Macaca mulatta: one gene and its partners. The main gene of each other region encodes a partner of the protein of the gene in region 4 in a complex. Links are inferred from orthologs where the notes say so. Each region holds a gene or a part of one and is shown on either strand. Other genes may lie near its edges.

The links.
Region 1: MYBL2 (region 4) and TFDP2 share a complex: the UniProt entries of both Homo sapiens proteins name them as parts of the DREAM complex. The link is inferred for Macaca mulatta from reciprocal best matches to the Homo sapiens genes MYBL2 and TFDP2.
Region 2: the proteins of MYBL2 (region 4) and LIN52 are in contact, whole or in part, in a crystal structure (PDB 6C48), measured with the Homo sapiens proteins. The link is inferred for Macaca mulatta from reciprocal best matches to the Homo sapiens genes MYBL2 and LIN52. Residues at the interface, in NP_002457.1 of Homo sapiens: Trp663, Val666, Ala667, Gly669, Thr671, Asp673, Gln674, Phe676, Lys680, Ala681, Gln683, Leu684; in NP_001019845.2 of Homo sapiens: Gln84, Ala87, Tyr88, Gly91, Leu92, Glu94, Ser95, Met98, Thr99, Lys102, Phe103, Leu107, Glu108, Lys109.
Region 3: MYBL2 (region 4) and LIN54 share a complex: the UniProt entries of both Homo sapiens proteins name them as parts of the DREAM complex. The link is inferred for Macaca mulatta from reciprocal best matches to the Homo sapiens genes MYBL2 and LIN54.

What each region holds. Positions count from the first base shown.
Region 1 is NC_133407.1:44,952,041-44,957,206, forward strand, and holds part of TFDP2 (transcription factor Dp-2), read right to left. Parts: intron 3,364-5,166; coding exon 3,201-3,363; intron 637-3,200; coding exon of another isoform or gene 634-636; coding exon 490-633; intron 1-489. UniProt on the Homo sapiens protein: Can stimulate E2F-dependent transcription.
Region 2 is NC_133412.1:147,265,582-147,271,380, reverse strand, and holds the start of LIN52 (protein lin-52 homolog), read right to left. Parts: upstream 3,591-5,799; 5' UTR 3,584-3,590; coding exon 3,553-3,583; intron 1-3,552. Other genes in the region: ALDH6A1 (methylmalonate-semialdehyde/malonate-semialdehyde dehydrogenase [acylating], mitochondrial), read left to right, coding at 4,151-4,204.
Region 3 is NC_133410.1:50,833,643-50,838,808, reverse strand, and holds part of LIN54 (protein lin-54 homolog), read right to left. Parts: intron 4,941-5,166; coding exon 4,867-4,940; intron 4,715-4,866; coding exon 4,517-4,714; intron 3,486-4,516; coding exon 3,394-3,485; intron 2,284-3,393; coding exon 2,212-2,283; intron 1,398-2,211; coding exon 1,295-1,397; intron 1,138-1,294; coding exon 1,000-1,137; intron 1-999. UniProt on the Homo sapiens protein: Component of the DREAM complex, a multiprotein complex that can both act as a transcription activator or repressor depending on the context. In G0 phase, the complex binds to more than 800 promoters and is required for repression of E2F target genes.
Region 4 is NC_133415.1:96,520,595-96,525,760, reverse strand, and holds part of MYBL2 (myb-related protein B), read right to left. Parts: intron 1,388-5,166; coding exon 1,167-1,387; intron 1-1,166. UniProt on the Homo sapiens protein: Transcription factor involved in the regulation of cell survival, proliferation, and differentiation. Transactivates the expression of the CLU gene.

The DNA of each region.
Region 1 (5,166 bases), on a different chromosome or scaffold from region 4:
AAGACACAAACGAAACACTATTCATTCTGTTGCTATTATTTCTAAAGTCAAATGCAAAAGTCTGACTTTCACAGCTATATTCAGAATATTGTGTAACCAATAAAGGAAATCAACAGCCAGCTTGATCCTTTTTTTTTTTTTTTGGATACATACAGCAAGCATCTTATCAAATAAGATACCATTTCACCAAAAGTTTATTAGTAGAGTGCTCAGAATTAACTTAGAATGAAATAAAAATCTTCTCTAAGAAACAGTAAAATCAAACTGTTATTTAACTTTTATATCCCTCAGTTTCATCATTTACAAATTAAACTGTAGACTATACCTATAAGGCACCTTCCAATTCTAAAATTCTACAGTCTGTTAAAAAATGACATAGTATACATGAAAAATTGGAAATATTTTATATTACAATTACATTTTTAAATTAAAATGCCTCTGATGTAAAATAATACAAAAAGCTATTCATAAACAGATTTTCTCACTTACCTCCAGATTCTGACATTCCTGAGCAGAATTGGTAGGCAGGCCAATCCACTTGATTTCTTTTTTTTCCTTTGAAATTATGTTCATTGCCATTAGCACATTTAAAGCATCATAAACTCTTCGCCTAATGTTTTTCTGATCGTAAGCCTGCTAAAAAACATTTTCATTGAGTGATAATTAAGGGTTAAGATACAGTCACATGATATTAATATGTCAAATTAATATTATGTCTTCAAAGTGCTGGAAGGATTCTATTTTTTTATTTAGCAAACTGACAAAGACATCCAAAAGAATTCTATATTCCGTGAAAATATCCTTCAAAATTAAAGATGAAATAAAAATACTTTCAAACAATATAAAACAAAATAATCTTAAAAATAAAGATCATGTTACCTGCAGATCTACACTGAAATATACTAAAGGGATTTCTTCAGGTAGAAGAAATATCATCTAAGATGGGAGCTTAGAGATGTAGGATAGAATGAAGACCAATCCAAAAGGTAAATATGTGGGTAAATCTCAATTTTCACTGTATAAAACAATAATAATGTCTTATGGAGGCTAGAATAAATACAGAACTTAATTAATATACATGACAATAAATAGTATATATTAACAGAAAAACATATTGGAGGTAAAGTGTTCTAAGCCCTTGCATTATCTGGGAGGATTTTAGACTTAAAAAAATCAAGGACATTTATTCAAGTTCTGGGTAAAACTGTGCTTCTCAAAATGTGTTCCTTGACCACTGTTGATCTGCAAATTGTCTCCAATCTACAATGAGATTAGGAACTTGCACCAAAATATAATCCTCTATATGACAATGGACACTGTTCATTCAGTTCAGTTGACCATTTTTCTTCTTTTTTTTTTGAGACAGCGTCTCGGTCTGTTGCCCGGGCTGGAGTACAGTGGCGCGATCTCAGCTCACTGCAACCTCCACTTACCAGGTTCAAGTGACTCTTCTGTCTCAGCCTCCTGAGTAGCTGAGACTACAGGCGCGTGCCACTGCACCCAGCTAATTTTTGTATTTTTAGTAGAGACGGGGTTTCACCATATTGGCCAGGCTGATCTCAAATTCCTGACCTCGTGATCTGCCCGCCTTGACCTCCCAAAGTGCTGGGATTACAGGCGTGAGTCACCCACCTGGCCTTTTTCTTCTATTTTTTTTGATAGAAAGACTTACTCAATGAAGGAAACCATGTTGGTTTACAACGTGGAACAAGGTCCTCAGGAAATGCAATGATAATAAAGGATGGTGGAGAACACTGAATCCACCTAAATATAAAACTAGATCTAAGTAAGTGGGGGATTTAAGTTATAGAACTGAATGTAAATATTAGAAATCTTGACAATAGGCAAGAAATCTTGACAATAACATCAATAGATATTAGAAATCTTGACAATGATTAGAAATCTTGACAATGATTAGAAATCTTGACAATGCTTGTAATCCCACCACTTTGAGAGGCTGAGGCGGGCGGATCACCTGAGGTCAGGAGTTCAAGACCAGTCTGGCCAACATGGCAAAACCCCATCTCTACTAAAAAATACAAAACTAAGCTGGGCGTGGTGGCACATGCCTGTAATCCCAGCTACCTGGGAGGCTGAGGCAGGAAAATCTCTTGAATCCAGGAGACGGAGGTTGCAGTGAGTCAAGATTGTGCCACTGCACTCCAGTCTGGGTGACAAAGCTAGACTCTGTCTCAAAAAAAAAAAAAAGAAATGTTGACCCTGCAGAAACAATGATCCTGTAACAACAAGTCCTGGGAGGAGGCAATGTGGTAGGTATGCCAATTTCCTCTTTTTGATATTGGAAGGGATATGGATGTTATTCAAAGCAGATTAAATAATAATAAAGGGTTCAGCACAATATTTATTTAAAGTAATAAAAATAACTGTAATAATAATAATGTTATTATTATTATTTTCCCGAGACAGAGTCTTGCTCTGTTGCCCAGGCTGTAGTGCAGTGGTGAGATCTTGGCTCACTGCAACGTTTGCCTCCCAGGTTCAAGCAATTCTCCTGCCTCAGCCTCCTGAGTAGCTGGGATTACAGGAACGTGCCACCATGCCTGGCTATTTTTTTGTATTTTTAGTAGAAACAGGGTTTCACAGTGTTAGCCAGGATGGTGTCGATCTCCTGACCTCGTGATCCGCCCACCTCGGTCTCCCAAAGTGCTGGGATTACAGGCGTGAGCCACCATGCCAAATATTTTTTAAATGTTAAAACAAAAAAATGCAACTAAGGCCAGGTGCAGTGGCTCACGCCTGTAATCCCGGCACTTTGGAAGGCCGAGGCAGGTGGATCACCTGAGGTCAGGAGTTTGAGACCAGCCTAGCCAACATGGTGAAACCCTGTCTCTACTAAAAGTACAAAAATTAGCTGCGAATGGTGGTGTGCGCCTGTAATCCCAGCTACGCGGGAGGCTGAGGCACAAGAAGAGCTTGAACCTGGGAGGCAGAGGTTGCAGTGAGCCAAGATCGCACCACTGAACTCCAGCGTGGGCGACAGAGCGAGGATCCATCTAAAAAAAAAAGAATTCCCTCCAAAATAAAACTCAACAACAACAAAAAATCCCCCAAAATAAAGGATGAAACCCTCAAGTATAATTGTTCATCTAGCTTACCTGATTCCTCAAATCTATAACAAAGATAACACAAAGAGATACCATCATCCATCAAAATCAATGTCAGGTTCATGATCTACCTACCGAATCAGCAGCCAAATGGTTATTTGAATTGGTGAACTCTGACACCAGCTCATCAGCGACTTCATTGTATGATGTTGTACCTTTTCGTTGAACTTTCTCACACACCTTCATTGAAAAGTGTCTCAAGCCTTTCCCATTTTTATCTCCTTTTTTGCTTCGTTTACTAGAAGGGAAAAAAGTTTTTTTACTCCATTATACATATTAGAGACTTCCTTTACAAATCTCTGTAAGATAATTCAAGAAGACAGTAATTTAACTTTTACTTCGGGTGTCAAAAATTTAAATTGAATAGAGATGAGAAAATGTTTACTTAAACTTACTTTTTGCCTTAAAGGCCTAATAAAGTATGAAGTTAGAGTGTTTTTCTATGCACATCATTTATTTATTTATTCAACAAATATTTATTGACCAGTTACTATTCTATGCCAGATACTGTTATTGACACTGAGAATAAGTCAGTGAAAAAACACAAAAACTTTGCCCTTGTATAGCTAACATACTTATCTTTTCGTATTCTATGTAGATTATAGGTTTTTTACTGAAATTAAAACTACAGTCATTTGCCACAGAAGGACATTTCAGTCAATGACGGGCCGCATATACAACAGTAGTCCAATAAGATTACAATGGAATTGAAAAATTCTCATTGCCTAGTGAGGTAGTAACTATCATAATGCCATAGCATGATGCAATACTCACATGTTTGTGGTGATGCTGGCAAACAAACCTACTGCTCTGCCAGTCCTATAAAAGTCTAGCAAATGCAATTATGGACAGTACATAATACTTGATAATGATAATAAATGACTATGTTACTGGTTTCTGTATTTACTAAACTATACTTTTCATCATTTTAGAGCGTACTTCTTCAAATTATAAATTAAAAGTTAACTGTAAAAAGCCTCGGGCAATCCTTCAGGAGGTATCCAGAAGAATGCATTGTTATCACAGGAGATGACAGCTCCATGTGTGTTACTGCCCCTAAAGACCTTCCAGTGGGACAAGATGTGGAGGTAGGGGACAGTGATATTGATGATCTTGACCTCCCTGTAGGCCTAGGATAGTGTGTCTCAGTTTTCTTTTCTTTTTTGGAGAGAGAGTCTCACCCTATCCCCTAGGCTGGAGTACAGTGGCATGATCTCTACTCACTGCAACCTCTGCATCCCAGGTTCAAGCGATTCTCCTGCCTCAGCCTCCCCAGTAGCTGGGATTACAGGTGTGCGCCACCACACCTGGCTCATTTTTGTATTTTTAGTAGAGACAGGGTTTCATCATGTTGGCCAAGCTGTTCTAGAACTCCTGACCTCAGGTGATCCACCCGCCTTGGCCCCCCAAAGTGCTGGGATTACAGGCGTGAGCCACTGCGCCTGGCCCCTGTCTCAGTTTTCTGTTTTGGGGGGTTTCTTTGGATTCAGGGTCTCACTCTGTTGCCTGGGCTAGAGTGCAGTGGTGCCATCATGGCTCACTGCAGCCTAAACCTCCTGTGCTCAAGTGATCCTTCCACCTCAACCTTCCAAGTAGTTAGAATTACAGGTGCATGTCACCATGCCTGGCTAATTTCTTTTCTTTTTTGTAGAGACAGGGTCTCGTTATGTTGCCCAGGCTGCTCTTGAACTCCTGACCTCAAGTGATCCCTCCCATCTCAGCCTCCCAAAGTGTTGGGTTATAAGTGTGAGCCACCCTGCCCAGCCACATCTCAGTGTTCAACAAAAAAGTTTCAAAAGTTAAAAAAAAAAGAAAATTAAGGATATAAAGAAAATATTTTTGTACAGCTGTACAATGTGTAATGATTAATCAGGGTAATCGGGGTATCCATCATCTCAAGCCTTTTTTGTTTCTTTGTATTAGGAACATTCCAATTCCTTTCCTCTAGTTACTTAAAATATACAATCAATTGTTGTTAACTACAGCATCCTATTGTACTACCAAATACTAGATATTATTCATTCTATCTAAGTGTATTTTT
Region 2 (5,799 bases), on a different chromosome or scaffold from region 4:
TTGAGTTTTTATTGTATGCTCAGTATGCTAACCAGTTGCATAACTAGTTCATTTAATGCTATAAACAGCGGTTCTTAACATTTTCTGGGTAAGCCACATCTTTGGAAATCTGGGAAAAAAAATGAACTCACTCCCCAGAAAATACACATATGTACAAAATTTTTCAACATGTACTTTTCTCTAAACTGAATTTGTTTTGCCAAATATCCCAAAGGAATTTCCAATGGCATTTTAATTGTAAAGAACTCAACCAATACACTGCCTTAACTAAAGCATTAAAAATTAGCTTCTCTTTGTTACCAATTTCTGAGGAATGTTCAACCATAACAAAAATAAAGTTATTGGGCCAGGTGCGGTGGCTCGTGTCTGGAATCCCAGTGCTTTGGGAAGCTGAGGCAGGAAGACTGTCTGAGCCCAGGAGTTTGAGACCAGCCTGGGCAACATAGTGAGACTTTATCTCTACAAAAAATAATAAGGCAGGGCACGGTGGCTCACGTCTGTAATCTTAGCACTTTGGGAGGCTGAGGTGAGTGGATCACCTGAGGTCAAGAGTTTGAGACCAGCCTGGGCAATATGGTGAAACCCTGTCTCTACTAAAAATACAAAAATTAGCCAGGTGTGGTGGTGTGTGCCTGTTATCCCAGCTACTGGAGAGGCTGAGGCATGAGAATTACTTGAACCCAGGAGGCAGGGATTGCAGTGACCCGAGATCGTGCCATGGCACTCCAGCCTGGGTGACAGAGTGAGACTCCGTCTCAAAACAAAATAAATAATAATAACAATAAATTAGCTGGGCATGGTGGTGTGAGCCTATAGTACCAGCTACTTGGGAGGTTGAGACGGGAGGATAGCTTGAGCCTTTGAGGGTGCAGTGAGCTATAATCATACCACTGCATTTCAGCATGGGCAATAGAGTGAGAGAGACCCTGTCTCTAAAAGAAAATTTTAAAAAAAATTATTGGGGGTACAATCTAATAACCTACATGGGTGACCTTATCCCACAGTCTGGGATAGAACTCAGACTCTGCTGTGAGTCTTACTCTCATAAATTAAGTAATTAGATGGCTGTATTTGAATTTCAGTTTTCTCCTTTTCAAAGAAGCTCCAGCAAATTTATCACGAAAAAGACAAAAGAGTAAATGACAAACATTTTCAAGTCAATGTTATCTGAATTAAATTTTAAAGACAGTGACAGGTGGAACACTAAAAATAGAAGTGAGAGAGCTAGGCCATGGAATATTTTGGAATGAGATACTTACTGAGACGTTGAATTTAAGTTCAAAGTGCTTGACTTGATTTTTTCAGATTAAAAGAAAACATTAGGTGGAGAGGAGTAAAACTTTGTAAGAGATGAGAATGAAGACTTTTAAAAATCAAGAGTGCAAATAAAGTGACCATAGGGATGGCTAGAAGACCAAAGGAAAAAAATTTAACATTTTTAATACTCTTCCTGGCCAAAGAAAGGAAACTAAATTGAGAGAAGACAAGGAAAAAAAAAAACCAAACTCAAGGAACACATCTCTAAAATCCCCAAAATTTGTAAAAACAATTTTAAAATAAACTAAAAAATTTAATAACAATTACCTCTATTTCTATCACTTGGCTTTTTAAAAAAATTGTGGTGAAATATACATAAATTTTACCATTTTAATAACTTTTAAGTATAGAGTTCAGTGGTATTAAGTACATTAATTGTGCAATCATCACATTCATTTCCAGAACACTTTCACCTTCCCAAACTGAAATTTGGTACCCATTAACAATAACTCCCTATTCCCTTTTTAAATGCCTTTCTTTCTGGCGAGAGAAGGACATTTTTGCAAGAGAGCACCCAGGAAGGAGAATCTCTTTTGACTCCAAACATCCAAATTTCTTGTTTTTCCTTCTTTTTTTTTTGAGACGGGGTCTCGCTTTGTCACCCAGACTGGAGTGCAGTGACATGAACATGGTTCACTGCAGCCTCCACCCCCAGGCTCAAGTGATTCTCTTGCCTTAGCCCCCCAAGTAGCTGGGACTACAGGTGCACGGCACCACACCCAGATAATTTTTGTATTTTTTTGTAGAGATGGGGTTTCACCATGTTGTCTAGGCTCGTCTTCAACTCCTGAGCTCAGGCAATCTGCCTGCCTCAGCCTCCCAAAGTGCTGGGATTAGAAGTGTGAACCACCACGCCCGGCCATAATTTCTAACACAGTATGTACCTGTGCTCACAAAATTTAAGACTCGGTTAAACGTAAAACTTAAGATCAAGTAATATATTATTTCTGCACATATCTAATCAATCTTTCAATACATGTTAATTAAAGACCTACTGTTCGTCAGGCACTGTGCTAAACCTGGAATCCAGCTATGAACAAGACAAACTTGTAATTTATAATCTAGCGTACAAGGGGCAAAGTTAACATAGTAACTATGCTGACAAGGAAGATACTGAGGCAATGAATAATGGTGGGGAAGGGCAACTCCAGATACTGTGTTCTAAGAAAGACTCTTTGGGAGGTGACATCTAAAAAGAGAACTGAAACTGGAAAAAAAAAAAAAAAAAGTGTGTATGTTTGAGTCATCTTTTGGTCTCCCAAAGCACCTAGCATTATGCCTTTCATGTAGTAGGTACTCAATACAGCTCACCTTGGCTTCAATTTCTTCATTCCTGCAATGAACTTCCAAGATTCCTTCCAAATACAAAATCTGTTTGTCTAAGGGAGGGAAACCTATATATCAATAAAATCGATATATAGTTGGGATGCGGATGGTAGAACTAAAAATGAGTTTAAAAATGACTGCAAGACCCTCTCTAAAGCAGAACCAAAAGCAAAAGCATGGGAGTATACCAAAACAACTTGTTACTTGAGATGACTTGCATTTTACACAACATATAAACAGAAATCGTTCATTCACTCAGCCTTAAGAAACAACACGTAAAGCAGATGAAAGAGCGGTTGCGACCTGTGCAAGACAACACTTAAAAGCTCAATACTCATTCTCCTCGCGACTCTCTCGGCGAGGGGCCGAGAACGTCCCCCGCTTCTCTTGCTGCCACGGCAATGGTCCCAAACTGAGGAGACAGGAGAGAGATCATGTTTCTCTTGCGGTTCACTATCGAGATGGGGTCAGCCAGCAGCCCCTGCGAGGGTTTGAGAATCGTTCCATCTGTGCGCTCAATCAGAAGAGAACTGATCCTTTCAATGGGATACCCCAAGGAGAAAACTACAGTAAGGCACGTCCTCCAGTAACATCTCCTCCTCTACCCTCAGCCTCGCCCAAATAGAGATAAGGAAGGGCCAGGGCGACCCCTGTCCTTTTACCCAGAATGAGTCCCTCCCTAGTGCCCTCCTCCACACGCCTGGTACAGAGCAGGGAAACTGGGCACCTCTGAAGCTGCTGCGAAGAACCGGTGAGCTGAAGACGGCGATGGATCGCAAGAAAAAAAACAAAAGGGAAAGGAGAAGAGCCCAAGAAAGAAATGTATGTTCGAGGGGCAGAGACAGAGTGGATGTTCCCCATACAGCAAAGAAGGAGGCTGCAGGCAAACATCCCTAAGCCGGCTCTTACCGTCTGTGGGAGACGCCATCTTCCAACCCATGTCACGTGACGTGGCCAACCGTCGGCGGGAAAACGAGGATCCATAAGCCACGCCCCCAAAGAGAAACCCTATCCCCAACTCGCAGCCACGTCTCATTCCCTCGCCTCATAGGGCAATCTTCGCCCAGCCCCTCCCCTCATCATAGCCACGCCCCTTATGCAGTTGTTGAGGTGGAGCGACAGCAAAATTCTTGGAGGGTCTTATTTACTTTGCTCAGTGAAGGGGTGGGGCCTCGGTTGCGTCCTTGGCCAATCGGAGTTCCAGGTTAGGGGGCGTCTCCTCCGTGTGCTCAGTATGGAGTGTCCAAGTCGGGGGCGTCTTCTCTACCTCCGCCAACGGCATTGGCTGAGGTAGGAGAGGGTGCGAGCATTTTCGCTCCTGACCAATCACTTATCCCCAGGACTGGGGTGTGAGAGGAGGAATCAGGTGTTAGGACGAGTGATTGGCTGAAGAAAATAGTCCTCCCCACCAATGAGGAAGCCCGGCAGGATGGAGGGCTAGGCCTGGCAGCTGTAGTGCGTCTGAGCTGTAGAGGAGCGGGTTGCGGAGCTAGGGCGGCCGAGAGCCATGGCGGCGGTAGTGGCGGCGGCGGCGGCGGCAGTGCGAGCCAGGATCCTGCAGGCGAGTGAGGGTGGCGCCAAGGCACCATGAAGCTAGGAATTGGATCCTTTCCGTCCGCTCCCTGAGCCGTCCTCGGGCTGGGACCACCTTCTTGGCCCAACCCCTTTTTGGCCGGACCTCCTACCTAACCTGTGGGCCCTGTCCCATGCCCAGCCCTCACTTCATACCCTCCCTCGTCCCGGATCCAACCCTGGGCTGTTACCCTTGGCCCTCTACCCTTTTACTCCTAAGCCTCCTCTTTTCTGGCTCTCGCCCACTCTCCTTCTCCAGCTCTGCCCGCTCCCTGCTGTCAGTCTCTTGCCCTCATCTCTCCATCCGCCCACCGTCTTTCCCTTTCACCTCTGCACCAGCGTTCTCTCTATCCCCCAGAAACTACTCTTTTTGGTTATTCTGTCCCCTGCCTTGAGCGTCCACGTTGCCATTGCTCCCTTCCCCCACCCTACTTCACTGTCCGTGGTGATCCGAGGTAAGAGGGAGGGGGAACGTGAGGGGCGAGGGTCAGTGTATGAACTTTGAATTTTCTTCTAGAAGTGGACTCTAGATTTTCACCAAAGGCAGCCATTTACCGAATTATTTTCCCTAAGTGTGGCTCTTTGTATTTTCCATAGACTGGCTGTCCCCTTTCTTGCCAAAACTTTCAGTGAAACTTTCTCTCAGCCAAGTTAAACAGTTTACATAGATAGGGCACATGTACATAGGGTAGATAAGGGCACACAGTTAACGCTACCAGTATGTTCCATGTACGTTCAAGGTACTAAACATTTTCAAAACAGGTGATAGAAAGTGGGAGCCAGGTAAGACAAGAAGTCTAAGTTCCCACCCCAAATCAGCTCTTCTAGTGCCACACACCCTCATCTCTGCACTTGGGGGATTGAGTCCTTTCTGAAGCCAACCTAAGGAGAAATGGTAAAGCTACAGGAGTTGCATGCCTGAGGCCTGTAATCTCCAACTCTATAGTCTTTCCCCTGTTCATGGCCTACCAAGGATTTAGAGTATGAGGCAAGATTTACTGCAGGCAAGAAACAATCAGCAAGAAACAACAGTGCCCTTCTTATTCATTACATCCAGTCTGAGAATTTCCTCTGTATTGCTGCGCTTTTAGGTAATATTAGTATTCACCAGGTTTCCGTGAGTTCTAGTACAGAAACTTGGGCATTTTCAAGATTCTTGGCAGAGTCAGCAAAGATTCACGTTTAAATATGCTATTTAATGGGGACGGTAGAAAGGATGAGTTTGAAGGGTTTGTCAGATGGTCTGGCCTCATATTTCTTGCTGTGATCCTTGTTCTGTTCTAGTATCTTTTTTTAGTAGCAGGAAAACAAAGTTTCCACCCTATATTTTTCTTACCAACTTCTTGAAATCTTTTACTGAAATTGGTTTTTTTCCTTTGCCTCCTCTTCCCCTCCCATCACAACGAGTCATTGAGAACCTTAAGAAAGTATTTTGTTCTTTTCCATCAAGGAGAAGAATCTCTCTTTCCTTGTACTTTATTTCAGAAACAGACACTATGTATTTTCTGATTCATTTGGAGAAACTTCTGAAGTGACCTAGAAAAGAACAAATAGAGTAATCCTCAGCCAACTAGGAGTTGTAAC
Region 3 (5,166 bases), on a different chromosome or scaffold from region 4:
CAGTGAAAATGGAGACAATTGCCTGCCGTGACCAGTAACCTCATCCGGCAATGTGCCAGATCCCCCTTTCCTATTTTTATGCTCACAAAGCAAACTTCTTAACATACTTTGGTTTTCCACAGAGCAGTGTGCTTTTCGAGTGGGCATAACCAGCATTTTGGTCAAGATAATCCTTTAATTTCCAGACTGTACCGTGGGATGCAGGCTATTTTGTTTGTTTGTTTCTTTCTTTCTATCTATCTATCTATCTATCTATCTATCTATCTATCTATCTGTCTGTCTGTCTGTCTGTCTGTCTGTCTGTCTGTCTGTCTAAGACAGAGTCTTGCTCTGTTGCCCATGTTAGAGTGCAGTGACATGATCTCGGCTCACTGCAGCCTCCACCTCCCGGGTTCAAGCGATTCTCGTGCCTCAGCCTCCTGAGTAGCTGGGATTACAGGCGCCCGCCACCATGCCCAGCTAATTTTTGTATTTTAGTACAGACGGGGTTTCACCATGTTGGCCAGGCTGGTCTCGAACTCCTGACCTCAAGTGATCTGCCCGCCTCTGCCTCCCAAAGTGCTGGGATTACAGGTGTGAGCCACCGTGCCCGGCCATATATTTCTAAGAAGCCTGTGAAGAACAATAAGAACTGCACCTCAGGTGAGAATCACTGCTGGAGAGTTTCCAATCCACTTTGATACTATTATTTTTATTGAAAATCAGTATATTGGTGTTCTGATCTGCATGCATATTTCTGGGCATAATGGCCAAGAAGTTATGGTAAATCACCCAATAAGACTCCAGGCTGTAATAGTAAACCCAAGGTATTCCTCCGAAGCCCTGCTAAGGAGGCTCGAAAGCCTGCCTCATATTTCCTCAAACAAGGGCCTCTGTGCCAACTGCGCATATTTTCAAACTGCAATAGCAAGGTGATTTCCCAATTTTCAAGTAAATTTTTGTAGTATGTCTTTTCTAAAATATCTTAAAAGATATTATTTTCACCACCCAGCATCTCACCTCATAGCATTCACAGTAGTTTTTAAGACATCCTGATCGTTTGCAATTACATCCTTTGCTATGACGTCGATCAGATTCTCCCTCCTTTCCTTTCCCAATCTTAGGCTTAAAGGCTTCTGGATTTCTGTCAAGGCATGCCTAGCAAAACAGATCAAATATCAGAGTTAAATCACAGTAGATGAAATTTAAACACTGCAAAAGGAATTGAAATGTTTCTTTGCAAGACAACTGAGTTATTTAAAAAATTGGTGAAACTGGATATTTCTGTCAGTTAAATGAAATAAAAAATAATCACCTTTATTGCTTTTTGCCTTTCATTTTCATGTTCCAAATTGTTATAACAATTAGTACAATTGCAGTTGTTGCAAAATTCACCATTTGCAAAGCAATCACAATATCTGAAAGGTAAAAGTCAGTATAGGTAAAAAGTCATTATTAAGGAAAACTACTAATTACCTGATTATATATGCATACATTATATATATATTGTACATGTACTACATATGTGGTAAATCATTTCAGAAATCTACTCAGCTACCCAGTTGAAGAGTTAACAACATATATTGTCAACCGCATACTAAGGCTCAAAGTTTAAATCACCAAGTCCTAGAATTTTGACCTAAAAAACTTAGTCCAACCAGTAACAGCTATCGCACAAGAGCTATATAATTTTATGTGCCCCCAAAGTCAGGCATTTCACAATTCTGAAAAAGGAAGAACACTGGCTATATTCTAATAGTTGAGCTGGCTCATTTGAGTTATAGTAGTACTTCTTTGGATTCTATGCCCCAATAAGACTAATGCTTTTCATTTAACTAGTTCATGTCAAATCTTTATAATGCTAATAAGCAAATTAACCATTCAATGATTTTTAAAACTACCTAGAGTATCATCTCTTCACATAGTAGACCAAATACAAAAGTCATGAATAAGATCAAACATTATTAAGGGCAGAAGCTATGTCTGTCTCATGCTGCTATGTCCCTGACCCCTACTCCAGTGATTCATGTATAGTAAGGACTCTAATATTTCTTTCTAAAATGAATGAAATATTTTTATACTGCCATATATGTGCAAACATTGACTTATATGTTTATTTAAATTACTTAGACTTACAAGCTTTGGTCTGTTAAAAATTTTTAGTTAACTCCATTTACTTTTAAGAGCATTTCTAATTATATTAAATGAGCAAAGAGTAGCAAAAACACTTACAATTTCAAACACAGTGATTTTGTACAGTTACAGGGCTTTCGGGGCCGACTGGCAGACTCTGATGGGATTATGCTGTACGGATAGAAAAAATATATACATTTAATCAATTAATAGTAACTAAAATTAATTTAGTTGCTACAATTAATTTAAAATTTTAAAAATTAGACCTAAAACTAATTTAAGATTAGAAAAGTCTCCAATCTATAAATTGTTCCAGAAATAAAGTTTTAACCAATGTTAAATGTGTCCATCTAAAATAAAAAGTTTGCTATGTTGTTCTGTTTACATTAGGTCCAAAGGCAAGTTGTAACATGAAAAGAGGTAAAGACAAGATATGGAATAATTTTTTAAAAAGAAGTTATCAATAGCTGCTAAAGAACACTCCACAAACACTGTCCCTTCTAAGAAAACAAAGTTGAGATTGCCTCAAAACTCTTGGGATTCAAGTATAAAAAGGCAGTGAGGAAAAGGAGTGTGTGGAGGAGGAAATGGAAGTGGGATGTGGACTGATTCCGGGTAATTAAGCACTGCTTCTAAGCTGATATTGCAAAGGCAGTAATTAACAGATAAATAAACATCAACAAAAAACAAGGACCTAACATAATTTTTAAAATAGTTGGGCAGGTGCAGTGGCTCAAGCCTGGAATCCCAGCACTTTGGGAGACTGAGCCAGGAGGATCACTTGAGCCCGACTTGGAGATTAGCCTGGGCAATATAGTGAGACTGCATCACTACCAAAAAATTTAAAAATTAGGAGAGCGTGGTGGCCTGCGCATACAGTTCCAGCTACTCAGGAGGCTGAAGCAGGAGGATTGCTTGAGCCTGGGAGGTGGAGGTTGCAGTGAACTGAGATCACAGCACTGCACTCCAGCCCGGGCAACAGAGCAAGACCTTGTCTCGAAAAATAAAGATAAAAAATAGTTAGCATCATCATTTTGGAAACATACTCAGAAAGAGAATAATAAAACCAATGTAGCAAAATTGGTGAACCTGAATAGAGTATTTGGGAATTGACTATTTCTGTAATTTTTCTGTTTGAAATATTTCAACAAGTATTTTAGAGGCATGCTCACATAGCTTTGAGGGGAAAAAAGTCAAAGAGGATGTAGTTTGGAATATATGTATTTATTGTTGCATTTAAGCTGATCTAACAACTTATGTACCTATTTTCAAAATACTCACCCATTGAATGGAAGCCGTGCCTGGGTCTGGATACCAGATGTTCCAGTAAAGGTAGAGTTGCTTGCTATTGATACATATGAAGACTGCTGTAGCTACATGTAAAGAAAATTAATTTTAGATCATATTTCCAAAAACGGACAATATTCTCAGGTATGATGATCAGTAAGCAATACAAATTCATCTATTAAAATAAGAAAAACACAATGGAGAATTTCATACAAACACATACTCCACAGAGCTCTTTTAAAGACTCAAACCAATACTATAGGTGAAAATAATGTGAACATTTTATAGTACTACATAGTACAAATATAAAGAAAGTATTTCACAGAAGAGTTAAGTATGTCAGAATGATAGGAAATTCTAGATGAATGCTCTCGAAGTACTGTAATAACTTGTTTTGGCTAGAAAAATGTAATGTGCCTACTTACAAATAAAACAGGTACTATATTGATCATTTATCACACTACAAATTACAGAGAATAAGTTACATGCACAATAGTTGAGTTTCTATTTTACACCAACTTCTAAACATTAGAAATGCTTATGACAAAAATACTGAACGTTATTCTTTTTATCAATAGCCACAAAACATATTCCAAAGTATATTTCATTAAAAAGTACACGTGTGGGTTTGTTTCCCTGTCTTTCATTCTAAAGATGACCAGTAAGAGTAGACAGATCGCTAAAGATATGTCACCTGGAAATGCATCTCACAGTTTATTTTCCAATAAATAAACTTGGACTTATTTTCCAAGTCAGTGGCATCAAACTGATGTGTGAGGAAGAGCTTTGTAACAGCCACGGTCTTTTCTAAATTCATTTGGACTCTGCCGATTTTAACTTCAGTCTATTTTCTATCATACCGCCACAGCCTTGGGCTCTTGCCAAGCTGCTCTCAGCTCCAAATTGTCTGACTTGTATATCTGACCTCTGTTATATATTTCTAAATGCTAAAGGTACACAGAAATAAACTTAAAGGTTTGGGTTAACATTTTAAGATTTTGGAAAGTGCCACTTCAATACTGAGTTAGATGTGTTTGAGTAGTTTCTGTGATAGCACTAGACATCTTGGACCCCGTTATCACTTTTGCAATACAATGACTTCATTTTTTCCACATACCTGAGTAACATACTGAGCTGGAAGCACTGCATAACCCACATTCCCTGTTCCCGGAGCCGGTGCCAGGACAGTGCCTGGTGGCAGGTTAGTGAGGTTGGGCTGGATCTGTGGCAGTGGTGTGGCAGGCATGATAAGCCGTTGCTGTGGCTGGCTAGTAGTTACTATTTGTGAAGTTGGATTGATTGGTTTTGGAACAACCTAAAAAGAAGGGACATACATCAATGACCACAAAATAAATTTTACAGCTGTTCAATTCAGTATAAATCTCTTGCACCTAAATCTTAACGTTCTATTTAAAAAGTAACTCATCTATTTGGGAAAGACTCAGAAAGAAGTTATGTGATACTCACTTGTTTGACAGCCTGAGCTGAGACAATTGGAACTGACATCCGCACTGGGGTTGTATTAACAACCACTGGCTTTGCTTTTTAAAAAACAAAAAAAGGGTGAACAAGTTATTTACAGAAAATAGTATTTAAAACACTTAAGAATACTTAGCTCTCCCAAGTTTTTCTCATAAAAGAGCTTAAAGAATTCCATTTGATTCCTAATTTGAGCAATCTTTAATCAGGATAGTTACCTTTCAAAACCACTTACCCCATCTACCAGAGAACTTATATCTAAGGTGGCTACAGTCTATCCACTTTATG
Region 4 (5,166 bases):
GCAGAGGATCAATATGTAAACTGGCACATCATTTACAGAGATAGTGATAAAGAACTCAAAAAGATGAGTCTGTTTTAGTAGAGTGAGTTAACAGAGTGGTGACAAAGACTGATGTTTTTCATTACAAACCTTTTAAGAAAAAAAAAAAACCTTTTAGCAGATTATAGTACTATCTGATTTTTGACTATTTTCTTTTTTTTTTTTTTTTTTTTTGAGACAGAGTCTCGCTCTGTCGCCCAGGCTGCAGTACAGTGGCGCGATCTCAGCTCACTGCAAGCTCCACCTCCCGGGTTCACACCATTCTCCTGCCTCAGCCTCCCGAGTAGCTGGGACTACAGGCGCCCGCCACCTCGCCCGGCTAATTTTTTGTGTTTTTTAGTAGAGACGGGGTTTCACCGTGTTAGCCAGGATGGTCTCGATCTCCTGACCTCATGATCCACCTGCCTCAGCCTCCCCAAAGTGCTGGGATTACAGGCGTGAGCCACTGCGCCCAGCCTGACCATTTTCTTCTTCTTTTTTTTTTTTTTTGAGATGGAGTCTCGCTCTGTAGCCCAGGCTGGAGTGCAGTGGCCGGATCTCAGCTCACTGCAAGCTCCGCCTCCCGGGTTTACACCATTCTCCTGCCTCAGCCTCCCGAGTAGCTGGGACTATAGGCGCCGGCCACCTCGCCCGGCTAGTTTTTTGTATTTTTAGTAGAGACGGGGTTTCATCGTGTTAGCCAGGATGGTCTCGATCTCCTGACCTCATGATCCGCCCGTCTCGGCCTCCCAAAGTACTGGGATTATACATTTTCTTCTTAAAGAAAGCCCATCTACTCCACATCTCAAGTCTATTCTGTGTTAGAAGAAACTGAAGTCGAAGAGAAGAGGCTAACCAAGAAGACACAGTGAGCTGGGAACTGGATGAGAACTAGACTCCAGGGTTCTCACTTTCTTGCTGAGGCCTCCCTTATCACCATCTGTTCTTTTAAGCTGACAGAAGACAGGGCCTTCCTGGGGAACCACCCTTCCTCCCGACTATGCATGCCTCTGGGAGTCCTGAAGCCGAGGCTGGGTGTTAGAGAACAAGAGCATAGGACCACAGTACCCACCAAGGAACCCTCCTCCATCAGAAACATGGGCCTGGCCTCCTGAGAACCTGCCCCAACCCCCAAGAAGACAGCTTACCTCCCTGGCAACATCTTGGCAATCTCGGCCCAGCGGTTGCCCAGCACCTTGTGGGCCTCGCAGATAATGCGGTCCTCCTCCTCGGTCCAGCAAGACTTCTTCACCTCAGGGTTGAGGTGGTTGTGCCAGCGTTCACGGCACTGCTTCCCCAGCCGGCCCTTCAGGTGCTTGGCAATCAGTGTCCACTGCTTTGTGCCGTACTTCTTAACCAGCTCGATGACCTTGGAGAAAAGCCTCTGGGTAGCCAGTTGCACCAGCCCCTCCCTCGCCCTTCACATCCACCTGAGCCTTGCCACGGCCCTGGGAGGTGCCACCTACCACATCCCCTCAGGCAACACGGAGCGGGTGGCAGGGGATGCCACGCAGTATGACTCTGTGTAGCCCATAAGTCCTACCTGAGGATCTGACCACACCCCTCTCATTTACTGCCTGGAATAAATCTAGGTCAAGAATGCCAGCGACTCTTTCTAGAGCAGAGATCAAGCCGGGGTAAACAAAGGCACCAGAGTCCTGCTTCCCTCTTCAGGGCTCAACCCAATAAGCTAAGTATAAAAGAGCAGAGGGATGAGGAGGAACAACCACAAGGGTCCAAACTAAAGGTGGGAAATAGACTTTCCCACCCCGGCCATGCCCCAGGCTGCCACAAGACCTCCCAGCACTTCTGTGGAAATTGGGAGGGCACAGGCTGAGCCATGGTAGCAGGCATGGCGGGCTGACCTAGCTGGACCTGAGTCCCCACCTGCCCTCAGTCAGGCTTCCTAGCTCAGGACACAAACCACAACATACTCAGCCACAAGAGCCAGGCCACGCCCTGCCTATACAACAGACACACACATTCTCGTGTGCACACAGGCCACAAGAAACTGGGAAGAGTGGATGCTTCTTTTGGCAAAGATTTTGGTGAATAAATATTTGACTTCATTTCTGTATGGTTTAAATTTTTATAGCAACCACATATCACTTTGTTTTTTGTTTTTGTTTTTTTTAAAGATTTTATGTTTTTACTTTATTTTCATTTTTTGAGATGAAGTTTTGCTCTTGTTGCCCAGGCTGGAATGCAATGGCACAATCTTGGCTCACCACAACCTCCGCCTCCCAGGTTCAAGCGATTCTCCTGCCTCAGCCTTCCAAGTAGCTGGGATTACAGGCATGCGCCACCACACCCGGCTAATTTTGTACTTTTAGTAGAGACGGGGTCTCTCCATGTCGGTCAGGCTGGTCTTGAACTCCCGACCTGAGGTGATCCGCCTGACTCGGCCTCCCAACGTGCTGGGATTATAGGCATGAGCCACCGCGCCCAGCCCAATTTTATGTTTTTACTTTTTTAGAGACAGGGTCTCACTGGTGTGCAGGGGGGCGATCTCAGCTCACTGCAACCTCTGCATCCCAGGTTCAAGCGATTCTCCAGCCTCAGCCTCCCAAGTAGCTGGGATTCAGGTACACCACCACACCTTGCTAATTTTTGTATTTTTTGGTAGATGGGGTTTCATCATATTGGCCAGGCTGTTCTCAGACTCCTGACCTCAAGTTATCCACCCACCTCAGCCTCCCAAAGTGCTGAGATTACAGGTGTGAGTTACCACACTCAGGCAAAAAAGTATTTTCAAACTAAATTTTATTTTATTCTTAAGAGACAAGGTCTCAGGCCGGGCCCAGTGGCTCATGCCTGTAATCCTAGCACTTTGGGAGGTCGAGGCGGGTGGATCACCTGAGGTCAGGAGTTCGACAACAGCCTGACCAACATGGCAAAACCCCCTCTCTACTAAAAACGCAAAAATCACCCAGACATGGTGGCGTGCACCTGTAATCTCATCTGCTTAGGAGGCTGAGGCAGGAGAATCGCTTGTACCTGGGAGGCAGAGGTTGCAGTGAGCTGAGATCATGCCATTGCACTCCAGCCTAGGCAACAAGAGCGAAACTCAACCTCAAAAATAAATAAATAAATAAATAAATTTCATTCTTTTTCTTTTTCAAGACAGAGTTTCACTCTTACAGCCAAGGCTGGAGTACAATGGCGCAATCTCGGCTCACTGCAACCTCCGCCTCCCCAGTTCGGGTGATTCTCCTGCCTCAGCCTCCCAAGCAGCTGGGATTACAGACATGCGTTACCATACCAGGCTCATTTTTGCATTTTTAGTAGAGACACAGTTTCGCCATGTTGGTCAGGCTGCCTCGAACTCCTGATGTCAGGTGATCCACCCACCCCAGCCTCCCAAAATGCTGGGATTGCAGGCGTGAGCCACCACACCCAGGCTTTATTTTTTTTTTTTTTTTTGAGGCAGGGTCTCACTGTGTCACCCAAGCTAGAATGCAGTAGTGTGATCATAGCTCACTGCGGCCTTGAATTCCTGGGCTCAAATGATCCTCCCAACTCGCCTTCCATCTACAGGCACCCTACCACCACACTGAGTTAATTAAAATTAATTTCAAGGTGAAGTGCCAGCCATGGCTCATGACTATAATCCCAGAACTTTGGGAGGCCAAGGTGAGAAGATAGCTTGAGCCCTGTAGTTCAAGACCAGCCTGGGAATCATAGGAAGACCCTGTCTCTATAAATTAAAAAAAAAAAAAAAAAAAAGGCTGGGCACAGCGGCTTGCGCTTGCAATCCCAGAACTTTGGGAGGCCAAGGTGGGTGGATCACAAGGTCAGGAGTTCAAGACCAGTCAGGCCAACGTGGTGAAACCCCATCTCTACTAAAAATACAAAAATTAGCCAGGAGTGGTGGTGGGAGCCTGTAATCCCAGCTCCTCAGGAGACTGAGGCAGAGAATTGCTTAGATCCGGGAGGCAGAGGTTGCAGTAAGCCAAGATCGCGCCATTGCACTCCAGCCTGGGCAACAAAGCAAGACTCAGTCTCAAAAAATAGAAAAAAAGAAAGAACAGGAATAGTGGCTCATACCTATAATCCCAGCACTTTGGGAGGCTGACATGGGAGGATCATTTGAGCCCAGAAGTTCAACCAGCCTGGGCAGCATAGCAAGACACTGTCTCTACAAAAATTTTTCAAGAAGATTAGCCAGGCATGGTGGCACATGTAGTACCAGCTACTTTGGAAGCTGAGATGGGAGGATTGCTTGGGCCTGGGAGGTTGAGACTGCATGCAATGAGCCGTGACTGTGCCACTGTACTCCAGCCTGGGTGACAGAGCAAACCTCTGCCTCAATCAATCAATCAAAAAAATTAGCCAATGCTCTCCAGCCAGTGCAACAGAGTAAAACCTGTCTCAAAAAAAATCAATTTAAAAATATCTAGTTCCAGGCTGGGCGCGGTGGCTCACGCCTGTAATTCTAACACTTTGGGAGGCCGAGGTGGGTGGATCACGAGGTCAGGATTTCGAGAGCAGCCTGACCAACATGGTGAAACCCCATCTCTACTAAAAATAACAAAAAAATTAGGCAGGCGTACTTGCACGTGCCTGTAATCCCAGCTAATCAGGAGGCTGAGGCGGAAGAATCGCTTGAACCCAGGAGGCGGAGGATGCAGTGAGCTAAGATTGTGCCACTGCACTCCAGCCTGGGCAACAAAGCGAGACTCCATATAAAAAAAAAAAAAAAAAAAAAGTCTAGTTCCCTTCATCTCCCTCTTTCCCATGAGCCACGCCTGCCTCGGTAGAATGGCATCCTCTGGGGTGGTATCAAGGAGAAGAGATGAGGGAACTCCCAAGGTATACCAGGGCAGTCATGGCGCTTACTGCCTCTTCTAGGTTGGGGACATCCCCAGCCTCTCTGAGCCCTGCTCTCACCATCTATAAAATGGGACTAACAACTTCTGCCCACTTCGCAGGACTGCTATGGCGATCAAAAGAAGGCATCTATGCTTGCCCTGTGAAGGTCACAGGGTGCAATCATCATTAAATCAGGGATAGCAGCAGCTGCCATTTGCTGAGAGCTCACCATGTACAGGACCTGCAAGCCCCCTACAAACATCACCTGCTTAACTCTCATGACAATGCCGCACTGCTGCTGTTCCCCTCCATGGGCAGAACAAGAGAAGCTGAGTA